Macaca fascicularis: one gene and its partners. The protein of the gene in region 1 purifies or fractionates together with the protein of each later gene. This does not show direct contact. Links are inferred from orthologs where the notes say so. Each region holds a gene or a part of one and is shown in the gene's direction. Other genes may lie near its edges. The genes, in order: NUFIP2, LSM12, DDX6, ATXN2L and ATXN2.

The links.
Region 2: the proteins of NUFIP2 (region 1) and LSM12 purify together in Homo sapiens (affinity purification with mass spectrometry; 3 studies listed by BioGRID and IntAct, counting the BioPlex papers as one, with this or other methods). This does not show direct contact. The link is inferred for Macaca fascicularis from reciprocal best matches to the Homo sapiens genes NUFIP2 and LSM12.
Region 3: the proteins of NUFIP2 (region 1) and DDX6 purify together in Homo sapiens (affinity purification with mass spectrometry; 6 studies listed by BioGRID and IntAct, counting the BioPlex papers as one, with this or other methods). This does not show direct contact. The link is inferred for Macaca fascicularis from reciprocal best matches to the Homo sapiens genes NUFIP2 and DDX6.
Region 4: the proteins of NUFIP2 (region 1) and ATXN2L purify together in Homo sapiens (affinity purification with mass spectrometry; 4 studies listed by BioGRID and IntAct, counting the BioPlex papers as one, with this or other methods). This does not show direct contact. The link is inferred for Macaca fascicularis from reciprocal best matches to the Homo sapiens genes NUFIP2 and ATXN2L.
Region 5: the proteins of NUFIP2 (region 1) and ATXN2 purify together in Homo sapiens (affinity purification with mass spectrometry; 3 studies listed by BioGRID and IntAct, counting the BioPlex papers as one, with this or other methods). This does not show direct contact. The link is inferred for Macaca fascicularis from reciprocal best matches to the Homo sapiens genes NUFIP2 and ATXN2.

The regions. Positions count from the first base shown.
Region 1 is NC_088390.1:34,779,604-34,784,067, reverse strand, and holds the start of NUFIP2 (FMR1-interacting protein NUFIP2), read left to right. Parts: upstream 1-1,394; 5' UTR 1,395-1,483; coding exon 1,484-1,760; intron 1,761-4,464. UniProt on the Homo sapiens protein: Binds RNA.
Region 2 is NC_088390.1:65,081,582-65,085,344, reverse strand, and holds part of LSM12 (protein LSM12), read left to right. Parts: intron 1-1,232; coding exon 1,233-1,342; intron 1,343-3,482; coding exon 3,483-3,609; intron 3,610-3,763. UniProt on the Homo sapiens protein: Nicotinic acid adenine dinucleotide phosphate (NAADP) binding protein. Confers NAADP sensitivity to the two pore channel complex (TPCs) by acting as TPC accessory protein necessary for NAADP-evoked Ca(2+) release.
Region 3 is NC_088388.1:117,622,654-117,626,468, reverse strand, and holds part of DDX6 (probable ATP-dependent RNA helicase DDX6), read left to right. Parts: intron 1-2,337; coding exon 2,338-2,460; intron 2,461-3,478; coding exon 3,479-3,607; intron 3,608-3,815.
Region 4 is NC_088394.1:27,641,719-27,645,533, reverse strand, and holds part of ATXN2L (ataxin-2-like protein), read left to right. Parts: coding exon 1-13; intron 14-1,036; coding exon 1,037-1,237; intron 1,238-1,707; coding exon 1,708-1,883; intron 1,884-2,053; coding exon 2,054-2,164; intron 2,165-3,283; coding exon 3,284-3,496; intron 3,497-3,592; coding exon 3,593-3,664; intron 3,665-3,815. UniProt on the Homo sapiens protein: Involved in the regulation of stress granule and P-body formation.
Region 5 is NC_088385.1:118,383,140-118,386,954, reverse strand, and holds part of ATXN2 (ataxin-2), read left to right. Parts: intron 1-1,499; coding exon 1,500-1,804; intron 1,805-3,763; coding exon 3,764-3,815. UniProt on the Homo sapiens protein: Involved in EGFR trafficking, acting as negative regulator of endocytic EGFR internalization at the plasma membrane.

The DNA.
Region 1 (4,464 bases):
CCACTTAAATGAGGTACCTAGAATAGTCAAATTAGTAGAGACAGAAAACAGAACAGTGGTTATCAAGGGATAGAAGGAGGAGGGAAAGGACAGTATTTTTATTGGGTATGAAGTTTCAGTTTGGAATGATGAAAAAGTTCTGGAGATGGATGATGGTCATGGTTCTACAACAATATGAATGTACCTAATGCTCCTGAACTGTACACTTAATATTAAGATGGTAAGTTTTATATTATGAATATTTTACAATTTAAAAAATCCCCCAATCTATAACATACATTGAGAAAAGTACATTTTACCTGTATATTGTTTAACAAATAATCACCACCAAATATATGTATAATCACCACCTAGCCCCCAAAATGAAATATTATCAGTAACCTGTGTCCCTCCCCATCACAACCCTCTTTTCCTGAGTAAGCACTATCATGGCTCTAACATTTGCTTTTGAAAATCATACTGTGATGTGGTAATGCAGGATAAGTTAAATCTACACTACAACACGCTACAGAATATTTCTTTAAATTTCATTTTTTCCATAAGTGCAAAAAAAATCCCACTTAATAACTTTTAAATGCTCTTTCTCCCCTTCCTTTGCTCTTGAAACTTCATATTCTAAAACCTATTTTGGTGCCATAGTTGACCTCACCTGCAGTTTAATTAAAAAAAAAAAAAAACCCACAACCTTCAGTGTAGATTTTCATTCCTCCCGCTCCCCCTTGCCTCCAACTACAAAGAAACAATGATTTAAACCCTTTGTGCCCTTTTAGAAAATTACACAGATACCCCATTGTGGAACCCTATAATCCCTTCGTGGAAAGGAAGAGATTAGCATATGAATACAAAGCAAAATGAATCCAGAATACAAAATGATCTACTGGATTGTGAAGCTCTTGTATTCTTAAAAATGTATTTATTTCCTCTTTTTGTATTGCCCCTTTAGTGGTCTTAGGGTTAAGGGAATTGAGCTTCCCTTTCTGGTTACCCGGAAAAGGATTAACAACAAAAAACAACAAAAAACAAAAAAACCACCAGATTCTAATAGGTGCAAAACCAACAGATGGCTCCCAGCGCCAGTGGAATCGCCAGTGGAATCTGCTACCCTCGACATGAGCTTGCTTGCCGGCGAGGAGTGTAGAAAGTGCTGTTCGCAGACTGCGTGGTGAAGGAGAGAAAGCGACAGAAGAGAGAGCCATAGTGCTGACGTTGAAGGCCCGGCCCTGTGAGGTTGCACAGGGTAAGTGGCGTTGGCCAGGCGGCAGCGGCGAAGGGGAAGGAAAGAGGATTTGAGCTGGGGGCGGGGCTTGCGGTACAGCGTGGCTCCTGATTGTTGGAGCGCGGCTGCCAATCTCGCAGAATCGCTCGGTTAACCAGTGCGCTGGCGAGACGCGCTCAGATATACTGAGTGAGCCCTGAGAAGCAGTCTCAGATCCTGACGGTGCAGCAGCCCGCAGCCTCAGCCAGGGAGTCCCAGCCGCTTTCAATGGAGGAGAAGCCCGGCCAGCCACAGCCTCAGCACCATCACAGCCACCACCATCCGCACCATCACCCTCAGCAGCAGCAGCAGCAGCCGCACCACCACCACCATTATTATTTCTACAACCACAGCCACAACCACCACCACCACCATCATCACCAGCAGCCTCACCAATACCTGCAGCATGGAGCCGAGGGCAGCCCCAAGGCCCAGCCAAAGCCGCTGAAACATGAGCAGAAACACACCCTCCAGCAGCACCAGGAAACGCCGAAGAAGAAAACAGGTCTGGGAGGGAGGACGGGTGGGGGAAGGGGGTTGGGGGTGGAGGACAGGGGAGATGGGGGTGGGGCTGGATCCGAGAAGCGCGGACGGGGTCGGGATGTGTGTGTGTGTGTGTGCCCTCCGGCTCTGGGGATGCCCCTTTCATTCTAGGGCTCGGGCTGAGCAATGGGGTTTGCAGCGCCCTCCTTCCCTCCAGCATGGGAGAGGCCCAGCCAGGCCAGCGTGACCTTCCCGGCCCCCGCCCCGGCTGAAGGGAGACCCACTGGGTCGGCCTTGCAAGTCCAACCTCGTTATTCTTTTCCATTCACCTCTCTGCGTCCCTGGAGTTACCTCAATATGGGGGCCCTGAGATGGGGTAAACCTACCCCCCAAAAAAATCCCTCGAGGTGTAACTCAGGAAGGCCTAGCGAATCCCGCCTCGGATGGTGTCGCGAGACCCTTTTGCAGGCGGCCAGGGGTGGGTAGGTAGGCTGAGTTGAGGAAGTGCCCCTCACCCGCCACCCCAAGCCCACCTGTGGCCTTGGGGCTCCCCATCTTGTTGGGGGGGCTGTTGGGACCCCTCATCTCACGGGTCGTTTCCACCACTAGACGCCTTTTTTGGGCGCCGGACCCCGCAGTCTTGTCCCGCGGCTCCTCCCAAGGCTGGTGCCCCGGGCCCGCTCCCCCCAGAGCCGGCGCGGCTGGAATGTTCTCTCCTCCTCGCGGGGCCGCTTCCTGTCCGCCATGTTGGAAGCCGATTCCTGTCACCGACTCCGGCCCACTGAGGAGCGGGGGGGAAGGGTGTCGAGGGCCACACGGCGCGTCGGAGCTGGGTGACCTGGGATCACCACCGGCCGCCGCCTCGCCCCCTGCACTGCGGGGGCGCCGCCGCCCCCCGCTCCGCGGCCGCCCCTCCCCCGTCACCGGCCGGGGTTGTGTAACCCGGTGGCGGCGCGAGGCCCCGGGCGGGTCCCTGGGGTGAGGGGCGGGGGCGGTTGGGGTGGGGGAGGGAAGCGGCCACGAGGGGAGCGGCCTGCGCAGGGCCCCGCGCGCCAGCGGCCGCGTTTCCCGCTCCCGGGTGCGGCGGGAGGCGCGGGCAGTCGGGGCGGGGAGCCGGCCTCGAAGCGGAGCTGAGGGGGAAGGAGGCCGCGGGCGGCGGCGGCGGCCGCGGCGCTCCTAGGGGCAGGAGGCCTGGGGGGGCGGCGGGGGGATTCATTTTGGGTAGAGGCGGTGCCTGAGGCCGGGTGGGGTACCCAGCGGGAACCCAGCTCCCCGGTCACGAGTTTCTCTGCCACAGGAACCTCGTCTCCTGCCAGGTTCGCTCACGACTCCGCCTCTGAGGCTTTCACTTGGGCCTTTTCCTTCTAGCAGCTCATTTTCTACAAAAAAAAAAAAAAAAAAAAAAAAAAAAATTAACAAAAACCTTGTTCCATTCCCCTCCCCAGCCGGCACTTACCTTCTGAGCTTGGGTAGTGTCTTTGAGGTGAGAGATTTTTTAAAATGTTAGGATGAGGAACAGGGCGAGCTTTTTGACCCCCTTTCTTGTCCTTAAGGGTGAACCCAAGTGGCTCATCCATGAGGTTAGATTACTACCATCTTGCCTCGGATGAGGCTTCTCTCCATGTTAAAAAGAAAGGTGTTTTTTCGTATTTTAAAGTCGATATTGATCCCCAAACTAATATTAACAAACGAGAAATTGAGGGTAAAAGTCATGTAAGAAAGTATTTCACGAGAAGTAAGTTTAAAAGTTTATAACCCTCGCATATTTTGAAAAATAAGGGCTCTATATAAATCGAAGAGAAAGGAAGCATAAAGCGTATGTTAAACCCAGCGTATCAAATTTGATAGAAGGAATTGTTGAGAGCTGGAGAAAAACTAAGTGCTTTTTAAATTGCAGATTGTAACTTGAAGACTGAAATTAGAGTGTCAGATTTTCCATTTTGGGAGTTCGTTAGGGACCCGATGGTATGCAACAGAAGTGAACACGTAACACACGAGTTAGGTGTTTAATCCTAAAGATTTAGAGCAGTTTAAAAACTGTTAGGGACTACATAACTAGATTTTTTTAGCGTTAGATCTTGTTCAAAAGATGAGAAAATACTACCGTATTATGGCTGCATAAGGCAATATTACTGTTGAGACTGAAAAATTGTATTTCATCGGTCAGGTAAATATACTCTTGCAAGACTTCTCTCTACATGTAGAAGCAGCCCCTAAACCATTCAAGGTGGTATTCCTCCAAATATTTCTTATCTCGGAAGACGTGGATAAAGAGGAGGAAACTGGAATTAGGAGTTTTGACAGAGTATAAACAATTTGGGGCGAGTGTATGGTTTGGTCACAGTACTGTTGCTTTGACATGCATTATGCTAATAACTAAGAAAACATTACAATATTTTTGAAATTTATCTGTAACATGTTGAGGTAGGCTTTTGTAACCCATTACTCACAAACCTAAAGAGGAACAGTTTTTTTTGTTTATCCAGAAGAGGGCGCAAGAGAAGGCCAAATGTGTTGAGTAATTTGTTTCTAATTGAAAAGCTAGATTTATCAGGACTCAAGTTTTGCTGAGTCTTTTGGAAGTAGGATTAGTATGTATAAGCAGCCCTAAATAATAAAAGCGCTAGGAGTCCTTTAATTTCTTAAATTTATTCTATAATGTTTACATTTTTCTTAAATATCTAAGATATAAAAAAATTTATTTCTGGCATACTTTATACATACCA
Region 2 (3,763 bases), about 30 Mb from region 1:
AGATAATGTCCTGTAAGAGTTTTTAGAGGCTCAAATTGTGGTCTGTGAAGGTGTAGTATGTATTAATTTTTAAACTGGAGGCTCTAGCACAACAGCTCATAAACATTCCTTATTTTCATCTTGAAATGGAAATTGCACGTGTGTGTGTGTGTGTGTGTGTGTGTTGTGTATATGTATATATATATATATATTTTTTTAAGAGACAGAGTCTCGCTGCTTTGCCCAGGCTGGAGTACTGTAGCATGACCTCGGCTCACTGCAACGTCTGCCTGCTGGGTTCAAGTGATTCTGCTGCCTCAGCCTTCTGAGTAGCTGAGATTAAAGGCGTGCACCACCATGCCCGGCTAATTTTTGTAATTTTAGTAGAGATGGAGTTTCACCATGTTGGCCAGCCTGGTCTCGAACTCCCAACCTCAGTGATACAGCCAGTTAAAAGTGTGTGTGTGTGTGTGTGTGTGTGTGTGAATATATATACATATATATATATATATTTTTTTTTGAGACGGAGTCTTGCTCTGTCACCCAGGCTAGAGTGCAGTGGCACAATCTCGGCTCCCTGCAACCATCTCCTCCTGGGTTCAAGCAGTTCTCTGCCTCAGCCTCCCAAGTAGCTGGAATTATAGGAGCCCCCCACCACGCCTGGCTAATTTTTTTTTTTTTTTTTTTTTGTATTTTTAATAGAAACAGGGTTTCAACCATCTTGGCCAGGCTGGTCTTGAGCTCCTGACCATGTGATCCACCTGCCTCGGCCTCCCAAAGTGCTTGGATTACAAGCATGAGCCACCACCCCTGGTCGGAAATGTATATAGTTTTAAATCTCTCACCATCATTTGCCATCACATAGTCCCCCAGCCACACTCTATAATTTTAAAAGTGCTTTATTTTCTTCCTAGTGCTTATCACTGTCTGAAATTACCTTGTTTTCAGTTACTTTTTTATAGTTTGTCTCCCCCACCCACTTCAGGCTGTATTTAGCCTAGCATAGTGAATGTCTGGCACATGGTAGGTATGCAGTAAGTATTAGAAGGAAGGAAGGAACATTTTCTTGGAATACCGGTAACTGTTCAGGTATGTTGTGGGTTTTTTAAATTTGTTTCACTTTTCATTTCTGAGAAAACAGAAATCTGTCCAAACCAGTCTTTCCTGGCCTCCTTTCTTCAGCTTAGGTCCTGACTGTTGGGAAGAATGAAGATGAATCCTATTCTGAGTCTCTTTCCTCTCTTCCACCCTAGCTTGCCAGCAAAGCACGGACAGAGAAGGAGGAGAAGCTGAGCCAGGCCTATGCAATCAGTGCTGGTGTCTCTCTAGAGGGCCAGCAGCTCTTCCAGACCATTCACAAGACGTGAGTTGGGGGATCGGAGAGGTCTTTTGTCCTGGGGTAATGCTACCTGGTTGTGCTGTCTGGTGGCAGGCTTTTGGGTGGTTGTCTCCTAAAAGTCTACTGGGGAAGCTGGTAGGGTATTGGCAAAATGCCGGCATCCAGAGCTGCGGGTACTGTAGCCCCGTTTCCACACAGAAAAATAGTGTAATCACAGACAAGTTGTCTTCTCTGGTCTTCAGTTTCTTGTCTGTAAAACTTAGTTTTGGATTATATCACTTTTCCCAATGTAGATTGGGATGAACACGGAGTTAGAGCAGGTCACCTTCTTACCACCTCTTAAAAGACATTTTGTTGGTCAGGTGCGGTGGCTCACGCCTGTAATCCCAGCACTTTGGGAGGCTGAGGCGACAAATCACCTGAGGTCGGGAGTTCCAGAGCAGCCTGACCAACATGGTGAAACCCCCATCTCTACTAAACATACAAAATTAGCCAGGCGTGGTGGTGCGTGCCTGTAATCCCAGCTACTCGGGAGGCTGAGGCAGGAGATTTGCTTGAACCCTAGAGGTGGAGGTTGCAATGAGCCAAGATCGTGCCACTGCACTCCAGCCTGGGCAACAAGAGCAAAACTCTGTCTCAAAAAAAAAAAAAAAAAGACATTTTGTCACAGCAGAAGTCATTTGACTCTCCACTAGCTTCCCTAGCTGCTGAAAAACTGGAACATTTGACACCCCTCTCCACCCCCGCTCCCCACCCCACACTGCCTTCTGTTACTCTGTTTAACCACCCTGGATCTGGTGCACAGATGGCAGCTGGCATCAGAGCTGTTTGAGGCCGTGGTGTGAGTATCTGAACATTTACAGGTATGTGAAGGAACTCTCAGTCGCATCAGCTGCCCTGGGGCTTCCCAAGTGTGAACTGGAATGGGTTTTCCCAGTCTGGCAAGTGCCCAACTGTCTGATAATTGAGAAGAGCCAGTCTGAAGAGCAGCTCCCATTATGGGTGATAGGGTCAGAGAAGATGGGGAGTTTGTTCTCTTTTTTTTTTTTTTTTTGGAGTCAGAGTCTCACTCTGTTGCCAGGCTGGAGTCCAGTGGTTCAATCTTGGCTCACTGCAATCTCTGCCTCCCAAGTTCAAGCAGTTCTCCTGCTTTACCCCCCGGAGTAAGTGGGACTACAGGCGTGCAGCCTCACGCACAGCTAATTTTTGTATTTTTAGTAGAGACAGCGTTTCATCATGTTGGCCAGGATGGTCTCGATCTCCTGACCTCATGGTCCGCCCTCTTTGGCCTCCCAAAGTGCTGGGATTACAGGCGTGAGCCACCACGCCCGGCCTCTCTTTTTTTTTGATACAGGGTCTCACTTTTATCGCCTAGGTTGAAGTGCAGTGGTGCAATTTTAGCTTACTGTAGTCTCGATCTCCCCGGCTCAGGTGATTCTCCCACCTCAGCCTCTGGAGTAACTGGGACTACAGACGCATACCACCACTACTGGCTAATTTTTTGTATGTATTTTTAGTAGAGATGAGTTTTTGCCATGTTGCCCAGGCTGGTCTCCAACTCCTGGACTCAAGCAGTCTACCCGCCTCAGCCTCCCAAAGTGCTGAGATTACAGGTGTGAGCCACCACGCCCAGCCTGTTCTCCTGTCTTTCTAAAGGTGGTGTTTCTCCCTAGGCCAATGGTTGGCAAACTATGCCAGCACACCAGATCTGCTCCTCTGTTTTACCTATTGTCCATGGCTACTTTTGCACAACTGTGGCAGAACTCAGTGCTAGTTGTAACAGACGATATGGCCTGCAAAGCCTAAAATGTTTGTTAAGAGATCCTTAAGAGAAAAAGTTTGCCAGCCTCTGCCCTAGGCTACTATCTTAGTTTGGATTCTTGAGGCTACCATCACATTTTTATGACTCTCCAGGTCTCTTATGCTTCAGAGTAACAATTTCTGGGCTCTCCCAAGAATAAATGTGCATGAGTTTCATTGCTTTTCTAGCCAGTGGCACCCAAGGAATGTTTCTTGGCTACTATATGGGCTGCTGGTGTCTAGTTGTTGGCTGAGTGGTGAGCTGGGAACTTGGGATCAGCCGTCTGGAGTTATTTATTCATCAGACAGGAGATGTGGGATGCCCCCAAGAGGTTACATTTCGCCTGCTGTCTTCTCCTTCCAGCATTAAAGACTGTAAATGGCAAGAAAAAAACATCGTAGTCATGGAAGAAGTTGTTATTACACCCCCATATCAAGTGGAAAACTGTAAAGGCAAAGAGGGGAGTGCACTGAGCCATGTACGCAAAATAGTAAGTAAAGGAGCCTTGAAACTTTAGGGGAGAGAGGATGGTTCCTCGGGCCTTCAATCTTTAGCACCAGAGCAGGACATTGTGCTACAGTCTCTGCCTCCTGTAGCATCACTGTCTGGCCTCCCTGCACTGTGGGGCTCTGCAGCTATGGCTT
Region 3 (3,815 bases), on another chromosome or scaffold:
GTTTTTCAGTGGAAGTGATAAGCTTTTATTAGAAACCGTACTTTGAATTCTTAAGATTAATTTTTTTCCTGGTTAGTAATATGCTATATGATATTCCCATGATGCTGGGCATCAGCAGCAAACTGCAGCTCCCAGTCAGCCACATGATCATTGAGGGTAGACAGCTGATACTGTACAGTATACGGTGTTGTCAAGTGATTTTGCCCAACTATAAGCTAAGTGGAGCATGTTTCAAGGAGGCTAGGCTAAGTGATGATGTTCAGTAGGTTTGGGTAGTATTTTCAACTTAGGATGAATTTATCAGAACATAATCCCATTGTAAGTCAAGGAGGATCTGTAGTGTATCAGTGTTAATGTTTTGACATGAGGTTATTTTCACATTTGGTTTGTGTTTTATTATTATTACTATTTTTTTGAGACAGACTCACTCTGTTACCCAGACTGGAGTGCAGTGGCGTGATCTCGGCTCACTACAATCTCTGCCTCCCGGCTTCAAGTGATCCTCATGCCTCAGCCTCCTGAGTAGCTGAGATTACAGATGTGTACTACCCACACTTGGCTAATTTTTGTATTTTTAGTAGAGGCAGGTTTTCGCCGTGTTGGCCAGGCTAGTCTTGAACTCCTGACCTCAGGTGATCCTCCCGCCTCGGCCTCTCAAAGTGCTGGGATTGCAGGTGTGAGCCACCACACCCGGCCTGGTTTGTGTTTTAGGTAACATTTAATTCAAATCAGGCTTTTATCTTTAAGTAATGAGAGAAAACATTTATTAGTCACTGGGTACCAACACTAAGTGCTTTACTTTTTTTTTTTTTTTTTTTCATTTAATCTTTACAAGAAACCTATAAGGTAGGTGTCCTGTCAAGTAGTTACTATAGTATGTAGACATCCAGATTTTAATTTGCTTATAAAATATGTTTTATACTTCAGATGCAGTAGTTAGGCATTCGTAGGAATTCAGCTTTTGTCTTTTTCTTACACTTGCCAGAGTTTAGGTTTAATTTTTAAGAAGAGGAGTGGCTGGATAACTTGAAAGCCGAGTTTTTTCTTTTTTGTTGTTTTGGTTTGGTTTGGTTTGGTTTTTTTTTGAGACGGAGTCTCTTTGCCCAGGTTGGAGTGCAGTGGCACAACCTCAGCTCACCGCAACCGCAACCTCAACCTTGTTCAAGCGATTCTCCTGCCTCAGCCTCTCGAGTAGCTCGGATTACAGGCATGTGCCACCATGCCCGGCTAATTTTATATTTTTAGTAGAGACAGGGTTTCTCCATGTTGGTCAGGCTGGTTTTGAACTCCTGACCTCAATGCTTTGCCCGCCTCAGCCTCCCAGTGTGCTGGGATTACAGGTGTGAGCCACCACACCTGACCTTAGCCAAGTTTTTTCTAAATCCCTGTAAAGTAGTTACTACATGATGTAAACATCCAAATTTTAGTTTTACAGTTTTACAGTTGTGGAAACTGAAGTACAGAGTAGTTCTGTAACATTCCCACACAGCTAAGAAATGAAGGAGGCAAGATTTCAACCTGGCAGTTTAGCTCCAGAATCTGTACTTTTTTTTGAGACAGAGTCTTGCTTTGTTGCCCAGGCTGAAGTGCAGTGGTGTGATCTCGGCTCACTGCAACCTCCACTTCCCAGGTTCAAGCAATTATTCTGCCCCAGCCTCCCAAGTAGCTGGGATTACAGGTGCAATCCACCACACCCTGCTAATTTTTGTATATTTAGTAGAGATGGGGTTTCACCATGTTTGTCAGGCTGGTCTCGAACTCTTGACCTCGTGATCCTCCTGCCTCGGCCTCCCAAAGTGCTGGGATTACAGGCGTGAGCCACCGTGCACAGACAGAACCTGTACTTTCAAACACATATACAATACTACCTCTTTAATGAGAATCATCACATTAAAATTCTGTTGAGCTGGGCTTGGTGGTATGTGCCTGTAGTCCCAGCTTCTCAGTAGGTTGGTAGGCTGAGGCAAGATGATCACTTGAGCCCAGGAGGTTCAGGCTGCATACAGTAAGCTATGATTATGCCACTGCATCCCATCCTGGGTGACAGAGTGAAATGCTGTCTCTAAAAATAAATTAATTAATTAAATTCTGTTATAGAAGGGGGGAGGTTTATCTGTGTAGTGTAGAATTTTTTTTTCCCCTAGAAGATGGGGATCATAGATTCTGCCCCCTTATGCATATTTGACTCTGCAGTGTTGGAGAGAATTTATTGTTTTCCACCAGGAACATTTCATGGATGCTTTTGTTGGATGATGCCTTATTCTTTGACCATGTATTAACCAAAGACCTTAGACATTATTTTATTGTTTTTAAAATTGTCTTTTCTTTCTACTGCAGGCAGATAAGTTGCTGTCACAGGATTTTGTGCAGATAATGGAGGATATTATTCTCACGCTACCTAAAAACAGGCAGATTTTACTATATTCCGCTACTTTCCCTCTTAGTGTACAGAAGTTCATGGTGAGTATAAATCTGTACTTGGAATCAGTGCCATCCTATGATCTATGAGTATGCTTTTATTCATAATTACATCTTCCTATCTGTGAAAATACTTTATACTAATTATTTCAAGCCTTTGGCTCTTTCTTCAGTTGATCAATTAAAGATTTGTTTTACATAAATTAACTGACTTTTTAAGAAGGTTGTAATAGTAATTAATTAAATTCCTCATTTTTCTCTTAGTTTTTGGTGTCATGATGACATAGCCATTGGTGCTAGCTGAATTGATTCCAGTATTATTCTATATACAAAATAGAGTTTGAGTATCGTAAACTGAAATCCAAAATACTGCAGAATTTGAAACCTTTTGAGCCACAAACATGATGCTAAAAGGAAATGTTCTTTTGATTTTGAATTTTCAAATTAAGAATGCTCAGTCACTAAGTGTAATGCGCATATTCCAAAATTAGAAAAAATTTAAAACCTGAAACGCTTTTGTTCCTGAGCATTTTGGATAAGGAATACTTAACCTGTAGTAACTTAGCTGCATTTTTGAGATCTTATATCTTAATTTATTTCTAACGTGTCTTGCGTGGTGACTCAGGCCTGTAATCCCAGCACTTTGGGGGGCCAAGGTGGGCAGATCACAAGGTCAGGAGTTCGAGACCAGCATGGGCAACATGGTGAAACCCCCGTCTCTACTAAAAATACAAAAATAAGTCTGTTGTGGCAGCGTGTGCCTGTAATCCCAACTACTCGGGAGGCTGAGGCAGGAGAATCACTTGAACCCAGGAGGTGGAGGTTGCAGTGAGTGGAGATGGTGCCACTACACTCCAGCCTAGGTGATAGCAAGACTCCATCTCAGGGCAGCGGGGGGAAAATTCTGTAATGACAGATCATATATTTTGTTTTGAAGAGAGTTGCATCCCTTATAGCAAGAGTTGATTAGACAGAAACCTATAGGGTGGGTATATTTTGAATTTGAGATGAACTCTGCTTTCATTTAAGAAGAACCATCTTTTTTTTTCTCCCCTCCCAGAATTCCCATTTGCAGAAACCCTATGAGATTAACCTGATGGAGGAACTAACTCTGAAGGGAGTAACCCAGTACTACGCATATGTAACTGAGCGCCAAAAAGTACACTGCCTCAACACACTTTTCTCCAGGGTAAGAAGTAGGCTTCTGCTGTTGAATATTATCTCTCGAGTCCCAGTAAAACAGATTATTTCATCAGTTTTCCTACCATCTTCACTGTATAAAAGTTCATAGTGTTTCTGGCTTGGCGTGGTAGCTCATGCCTGTAATCCCAGCATTTTGGGAGGCTGAGGCAGGCGGATCACGAGGTCAGGAGTTCGAGACCAGCCTGGCCAACATG
Region 4 (3,815 bases), on another chromosome or scaffold:
TTTCTTCTTATACGTGAGTGTCTTGGTGCTCTCTAGGTGATGTGTTGGTGATATGGGGTCACTAAGTGAAGACAGGTTTCCAGGAGAACATAGTTTTTGCTCCTTTTTCTCTGGGTGTCCAGGGTCACCGTCCCTGCTCCTACTTACTCTACCTTGTGGAACTATTCCCTCAAAGGTTTTGTTTTGTTTTGTTTTGTTTTGTTTTTGAGATGGAGTCTCGCTGTGTAGCCCATGCTGAAGTGCAGTGGCGCAGTCTCGGCTCACTGCAAGCTCCGCCTCCCAGGTTCACTCCATTCTCCTGCCTCAGCCTCCTGAGTAGCTGGGACTACAGGCGCCTGCCACCACACCTGGCTGATTTTTTTGTATTTGTAGTAGAGACGGGGTTTCACCGTGTTAGCCAGGATGGTCTTGATCTTACCTAGTGATTCGCCCACCTCGGCCTCCCAGAGTGCTGGGATTACAGGCGTGAGCTACCACACCCAGCCTCCCTCAAAGGTTTTAAGCACGTAAGTGCTCCTGACATTCCCAGATAAGCCTTGGTGCTCTACCTAGGACTGGTGCTCTACCTGGGACGCAGTCGGTGCCCGTTACCCAGATGTTGAGTTGAAAGGATTAAATACTGGCCGGGCGTGGTGGCTCATGCTTGTAATCCCAGCACTTTGGGAGGCCAAGGCGGGTGAATCACGAGGTCAGGAGATCGAGACCATCCTGGCTAACATGGTGAAAACCCGTCTCTACTAAAAAGACAAAAAAATTAGCCAGGTGTGGTGGCGGGCGCCTATAGTCCCAGCTACTCGGGAGGCTGAGGCAGGAAAATGGCGTGAACCCGGGAGTCAGAGCTTGCAGTGAGCCGAGATCGTGCCACTGCACTCTAGCCTGGGCGACAGAGCGAGACACTTGTCTCAAAAAAAAAAAAAAGAAAGGATTAAATACTTACATGCCTGAACTGGTGATTGGAGTTGTTGAAGTGTTTTTTCTTTTTTCCTCTTTTGTCCCCTGGCACTGGGATGGTGGTGGTCTGTGGGTGCTGTCTCAGGGTGCCCTTAGAAAAGGACAACTCAGAAGAATTTCGTCAGCGAGAGCTGCGTGCAGCCCAGTTGGCTCGAGAGATTGAATCAAGCCCCCAGTACCGCCTGCGGATCGCCATGGAGAACGATGATGGGCGCACTGAAGAGGAGAAGCACAGTGCGGTCCAGCGGCAGGGTTCGGGTCGGGAGAGCCCCAGCTTGGCATCCAGGTGACTGTCGTGAACAGCCAGGACTATTTGGGGCTTCTGGGAGTGTCCTGGGGCCTGGGCCCAGAATTGATGGGTGCTGTGGTTTAAAGTTTCAAAATTTTGGTTTACGTTCTCTTTTTCTCTGTATTCATTTTTATATATGTGCTATTTTTTCTTATAAAAGTGAAATGTAACTGGATTCCTTGTGTTTTACAAAAACTGTCCTTGAAACTATGGTGTGATCCTAACTTTGTCATAGGTCAGGAGTTGTAGAATTGTGGAGCATTGGCCAGGTTGGTTGGCTCAGAGTTGATGTCACATAAGGTCATAAGTCTGTAGCCATAGAACATTAAACTGGGGCAGATCTTCAAGTGGAATAGTGCTGGAGCCAGGCAGTGTATGTGTGTTTGGGGGCAGAAGGGAGAGACTTTAGAAGAAGAAGAAAACGTGAGTTTCGTGGCTACCTGGCCTTATTTGAACTCTTTCCTCAGGGAGGGGAAGTATATCCCTCTGCCTCAGCGAGTCCGAGAAGGTCCCCGGGGAGGAGTTCGATGCAGCAGCTCTCGGGGCGGTCGGCCTGGCCTTAGCTCTTTGCCACCTCGTGGCCCTCACCATCTGGACAATAGCAGTCCTGGCCCAGGTTCTGAGGCCCGTGGTATCAATGGAGGTGAGTTATGAGGTGACTTTGAGGGGCAGGGCAGGGAAGGGGATGCCGAGGAGGTAGGAGGGTAACTGGAGGGGTTTGGATGGGTTGGAATGACACTGCATCGGTGGGAATATAATAGGTCATCTGCCTCCTCTGACGTTTTCTTCATCTTAAAAAAAAAAAAAAAACAGGCCCTTCCCGCATGTCCCCAAAGGCACAGCGGCCTCTGAGAGGTGCCAAGACTCTGTCTTCACCCAGTAATAGGCCTTCTGGAGAAACTTCTGTTCCACCTCCTCCTGCAGGTAAAGCTTTAGTAGTGTTGGATGAAGAAATGGATGGAAATTTGTAAAGAGATATAAATATGTCCAGTTGTTACAAATGCTGGAATGGGAGATAATTTTAAGATAGATATTTTGGGCGTTTGGGATTTAGTCATATTGGGAAATAGTTCTTTAATTTCCCTAGTGCAGAAATCTCAACCTGGCAATTCATAGGTTGTGTCTGTTTGGCAGACATCCTTTGTTTAGATTTGAATCAGTTGCTAACTTTTCTGGGGTTTCTTTTGGTTTGTTTGTTTTTTGAGACGGAGTCTCGCACTGTCACCTGGGCTGGAGTGCAGTGACGTCATCTTGGTTCACCGCAACCTCCACCTCCCGGATTCAAGCGATTCTCCTGCCTCAGCCTCCCGAGTAGCTGGGATTACAGGCGCCCACCACCACGCCTGGCTAAATTTTTTGTATGTTTAGTAGAAGCGGGGTTTTACTATGTTGGCCAGGCTGATCTTGAACTCCTGATCTCAATATCCGCCCACCGCACCTCCCAGAGTGCTGGGATTACAGGCATGAGCCACCACATCCTGCCAGTTGCTAACTTTTAAAACAGTCTGAGGCAGGCAGATTGCTTGAGCCCAGGAGTTCAAGACCAGCCTGGGCAACATGGCAAAACCCTTCTGCAAAAAATAAAAAGATTGATTAGCTAGGCCTGATGGCGTGCACCTGTGCTCCCAGCTACTTGAGAGGCTGGGGGCGGGGAATCGCTTGAGCCCAGGAGGCTGAGGTTGCAGTGAGATGGCATCATACCATTGTACTCCAGTCTGGGGAACAGAGCGATACCCTGTCTCTACATAAATAAAACAGTAGAAGCCATAGAAAATTTTAGTTTCTTTTGGATTACAGGAAGTTCTGCCAACTGAGCTTGCCTTGCTGCATAGCTCAGGTTGACTGGGACAGAATCCCAGCCACCCCTTTAAGCATTCCAGTCACCGATGATGCCCATGAGGCCATTTACCTGGTTGTGTTACCTGCCTTGGCCTTCTAGACACTTAAGTTGGTGACTCTGGTTGTATAGTGTGTAAACTTTCTTGCTGTTTTGAGTAAGGCCCTTGTATTCACTGCTGTTGACTAGCAGTAACCGTCCTACAGCTCCCCCTTTTCTTCCAGTGGGCCGGATATATCCCCCGCGTTCTCCCAAGTCTGCTGCCCCTGCCCCAATCTCAGCTTCCTGTCCTGAGCCTCCCATCGGCTCGGCAGTGCCAACCTCTTCAGCCTCCATCCCTGTGACCTCATCAGTCTCAGATCCTGGAGTGGGCTCCATTTCCCCAGCTTCTCCAAAGATCTCCCTGGCCCCCACAGATGGTAAGAGCTAGGTGTTTGAGTGCCATTAATGCATATTTAGTGTGATTTGTGGTTCTGGACAGAAGGATTTTTAGGCATTTCCCTCTCCTTGCACAGTAAAAGAACTCTCTACCAAGGAACCTGGGAGAACTCTGGAGCCCCAGGAGCTGGCTCGGATAGCTGGGAAAGGTGAGGGTGTGTGTGTTGTTTTTTTTTTTTTTTTTTTTCTGCTGAGGGTTAATGCTCCTTTATCTAGGGGAGAGTATGTCAGTTAGGAAGTTTGTTGGAAATCAGAGGCAATGTCTGTCAGCCCTTGGGTTGTAATTTCACTTCTGTAATT
Region 5 (3,815 bases), on another chromosome or scaffold:
CAAAGTCCTAAAACATAGCTTTTTAATTTTAATTTTTTTTTTTTTTTTTTTTTTTAATTTTTAGATGGAGTCTTGCTCTGTCACCCAGGCTGGAGTGCAGTGGTGTGATCTTGGCTCACTGCAACCTCCGCCTCCTGGGTTCAAGCGATTCTCATACGTCAGCCAAGTAGCTGGGATTTACACGTGTGCGCCACCATGCCTGGCTAATTTTTTTTTTATCTTTAGTAGAGACAGAGTTTCACCATGTTGGCCAGGCTGGTCTGAAACTCCTGACCTCAAGTGTTTCCACCTGCCGTGGCTTCCCAAAATGCTAGGATTATAGGTGTTAGCCACTGCACACAGCCCTGAACATAGCTTTTAAGTTCCTTTATTGTCATATTCCTTTTGGCAAGTCTATCATTTTCTGACTCACTTGTACATGTGTGTCCCACCCTTGGTCCAGCCATTGGTGCTTTGCTTTACTTCTTTATTTTTGTTATTTATTTTATTTTATTATCATTATTATTTTTTAATGAGAACAGGGTATCACTATGTTGCTCAGGCTGGTCTTGAACTCCTGAGCTCAAGCAGTCTGCTTGCCTCAGCCTCCCAAAGTGCTGGAATTACAGTGATGAGCCACTGTGCCTGGGTCATTGGTGCTATCCTTTTACTTTTTTTTTTTTTTCCGAGACGGAGTCTCGTTCTGTCACCCAGTCTGGAGTGCAGTGGCGTGATCTCGGCTCACTGCAAGCTCTGCCTCCCATGCTCACACCATTCTCCTACCTCAGCCTCCCGAGTAGCTGGGACTACAGGCGTCCGCCGCCATGCCCGGCTAATTTTTGTATTTTTAGTAGAGACGGGGTTTCACCGTGTTAGCCAGGATGGTCTCGATCTCCTGACCTCGTGATCTGCCTGCCTCAGCCTCCCAAAGTGCTGGGATTACAGGCATGAGCCACTGCGCCCAGCCCCCATTGGTGCTATTCTTTTATGTGATAGAGCCATCTTCTCTCTTTTCTTTGGATTTTTAAACATATTCCTCCTTTTACTTAGACTATTCTCCATCCCAAACACCTCTCCTAAACTTCTTTCACACCTTAGACTAGCTGAAACTTCCATTAAGAAACCTTTCTTTTTTATAGGTTGTTTTTTCTATAGAATCTCTTAGCATTTACTCATTTTGTTGTGAAGTGTCTGATCTTATTTAGATGACAAGTATAGGAGGATAGAAATTTTTTCATATTTTTCTCACCCAGCAAGCACAATTTCTGACATGTGGTAGGCATTCAGTAAATATTGAACTTTAGAGGCTAAGACATTTGAGTGCTTTGGTAACTGGTTGTGCTATATAGGTATTCTGTTATTGTTACTTTATAGTAAAAGCATTACTCTTAAAGTATGAAAAAAGCCTTAATTCAAAACATTTCATGCATATAGTTAATATTACTTTGCTTGTGCTCATGGCAAAAATGGATTACTAAAGTTATTTAAGATATTTAAGTATAATTGTTTCCTTTATTTAGTTACAGCCAAGTTCTACTTCTGAATCTATGGATCAACTACTAAACAAAAATAGAGAGGCAGAAAAATCAAGAGATTTGATCAAAGACAAAATTGAACCAAGTGCTAAGGATTCTTTCACTGAAAATAGCAGCAGCAACTGTACCAGTGGCAGCAGCAAGCCGAATAGCCCCAGCATTTCCCCTTCAATACTTAGTAACACGGAGCACAAGAGGGGACCTGAGGTCACTTCCCAAGGGGTTCAGACTTCCAGTCCAGCATGTAAACAAGAGAAAGATGATAAGGAAGAGAAGAAAGACGCAGCTGAGTGAGTAAACCTGGAACTTAGACCATCCTGTTACTCAGTTAACTTTTTTTTTTTTTTTTTTAAAGGCATTTAGGTCCTTCCAACTGTGAAGAATCCATCTGGACTTTTAGACTGCTTCATACATTGCCCTTAGTTTACAAACAGCTAGTCCAAACAAATGACATCTTAAGTAAATTAGGTTATTGCACCCTGTGCTACTCTTCTGTTCTTCCCCTTTTTTGCACCCCAGGGCTAGAAAAACAAGGCATAAATTAAGAAAAGTTTTTCTGTAAATGAACAGGAGTTGAAAAATTATCAGTTCAGGAGACCTATCTTTACTGGATTCCACTCATTAGTCACCCTCACTGTGCTGCTAGGATGAAAAACTGCCACTGTCAAGGAGAGAAGCATGCGATGCTTCTACTTGGAATTCAAAATATTTTTCATCAGAAACAGTGTTTTAGTTAATGTTTAGATTTGTTAAAATAGACTTAATTCTGCACATTCCATATATTTGTTAAATGGACTTTCAGGGGCTAACCTCAGAACTTAACTACCATTGACTTAGGTGTTCTGGGTACCAAACAATCCAGTTAAAGCTAAAGTTTTGGAATGTAGCTTATTGATAAATTGGGGACTGCTTATTCTTGATTTGAGGCAAATTTTTTTTAGAGCCATGATTTTCTGCAGGTATGTTATGTAGATAATATCTTCTCACATAAAAATTACTTCATGCTAGAATATTGGTATGTTGACTGGTGGCTCACACCTATAATCCCAGCACTCTGGGAGGCCGAAGCAGGTAGATTACTTGAGGTTAGGAGTTGAAGACCAGCCTGGCCAACATGGTGAAACCCTGTCTCTACTAAAAATACAAAAATTAGCCAGTCATGGTGGTAGGTGCCTATAATCCCAGCTACTCAGGAGGCTGAGGCAGGAGAATTGCTTGAACCCGGAAGGTGGAGGCTGCAGTGAGCCGAGATCATGCCACTGCACTCCAGCCTGGGTGACAGAGCGAGACTCTGTCTCAAAAAGTAATAATAATAAAAGAATACTGGTATGTTAAGAAGTGCTTTTAAGGATATTTTATAAGTAGCTACTGTCTTTTCAGCTCAAGTGTTTGTTGATTGGCCAGGCGTGGTGGCTCACGCCTGTAATCCCAGCACTTTGGGAGGCTGACTCAGGCAGATCACTTAAGGTCAGCCTGGCCAAGATGGTGAAACCCCATCTCTACTGGGGAAAAAAAAAAAAAAAAAATTAGCTGGGTGTGGTGGCAGTCGCCTGTAATCTCAGCTACTCAGGAGACTCAGGTAGGTGAATTGCTTGAACTGGGGAGGCAGAGGTTACAGTGAGCCAAGATTGCACTGCTGCGCTCCAGCCTGAGCAACAGAGTGGGACTCTGAAGGAGAAAATAAAGTATTTTTTGATTGCCTTTGAGAGGAGCAGTTGTATATTACTCAGATTTTTAAAAAATTGTTCTTTTATGACTATATTCTTTAAGGGATTAAGGAATTGGCAATATAAGTGCGTATGTTTCAATAAAGAGGATTAGTGATCTTCTAGTGAGAACAGTTTAAATCTATGTTTAGCAGTGTTTCTTTTTTTTTCTTGAGACGGAGTCTCGCCCTGTCGCCCAGGTTGGAGTGCAGTGGTGCGATCTCGGCTCACTGCAAGCTCCGGCTCCCGGGTTCACGCCATTCTCCTGCCTCAGCCTCCCGAGTAGCTGGGACTACAGGCGCCACCACCACGCTCGGCTAGTTTTTTGTATTTTTAGTAGAGACGGGGTTTCACCGTGTTAGCCAGGATGGCCTCAATCTCCTGACCTTGTGATCCGCCCGTCTCGGCCTCCCAAAGTGCTGGGATTACAGGCTTGAGCCACCGCGCCCGGCCTAGCAGTTTTTTTTAAATTGTCAGGTATGGAAGATTTTAGAACAACCTAAAGTCCATGTAGATTTCACTGGCCTTTTTTTTTTTTTTTAGGCAAGTTAGGAAATCAACATTGAATCCTAATGCAAAGGAGTTCAACCCACGT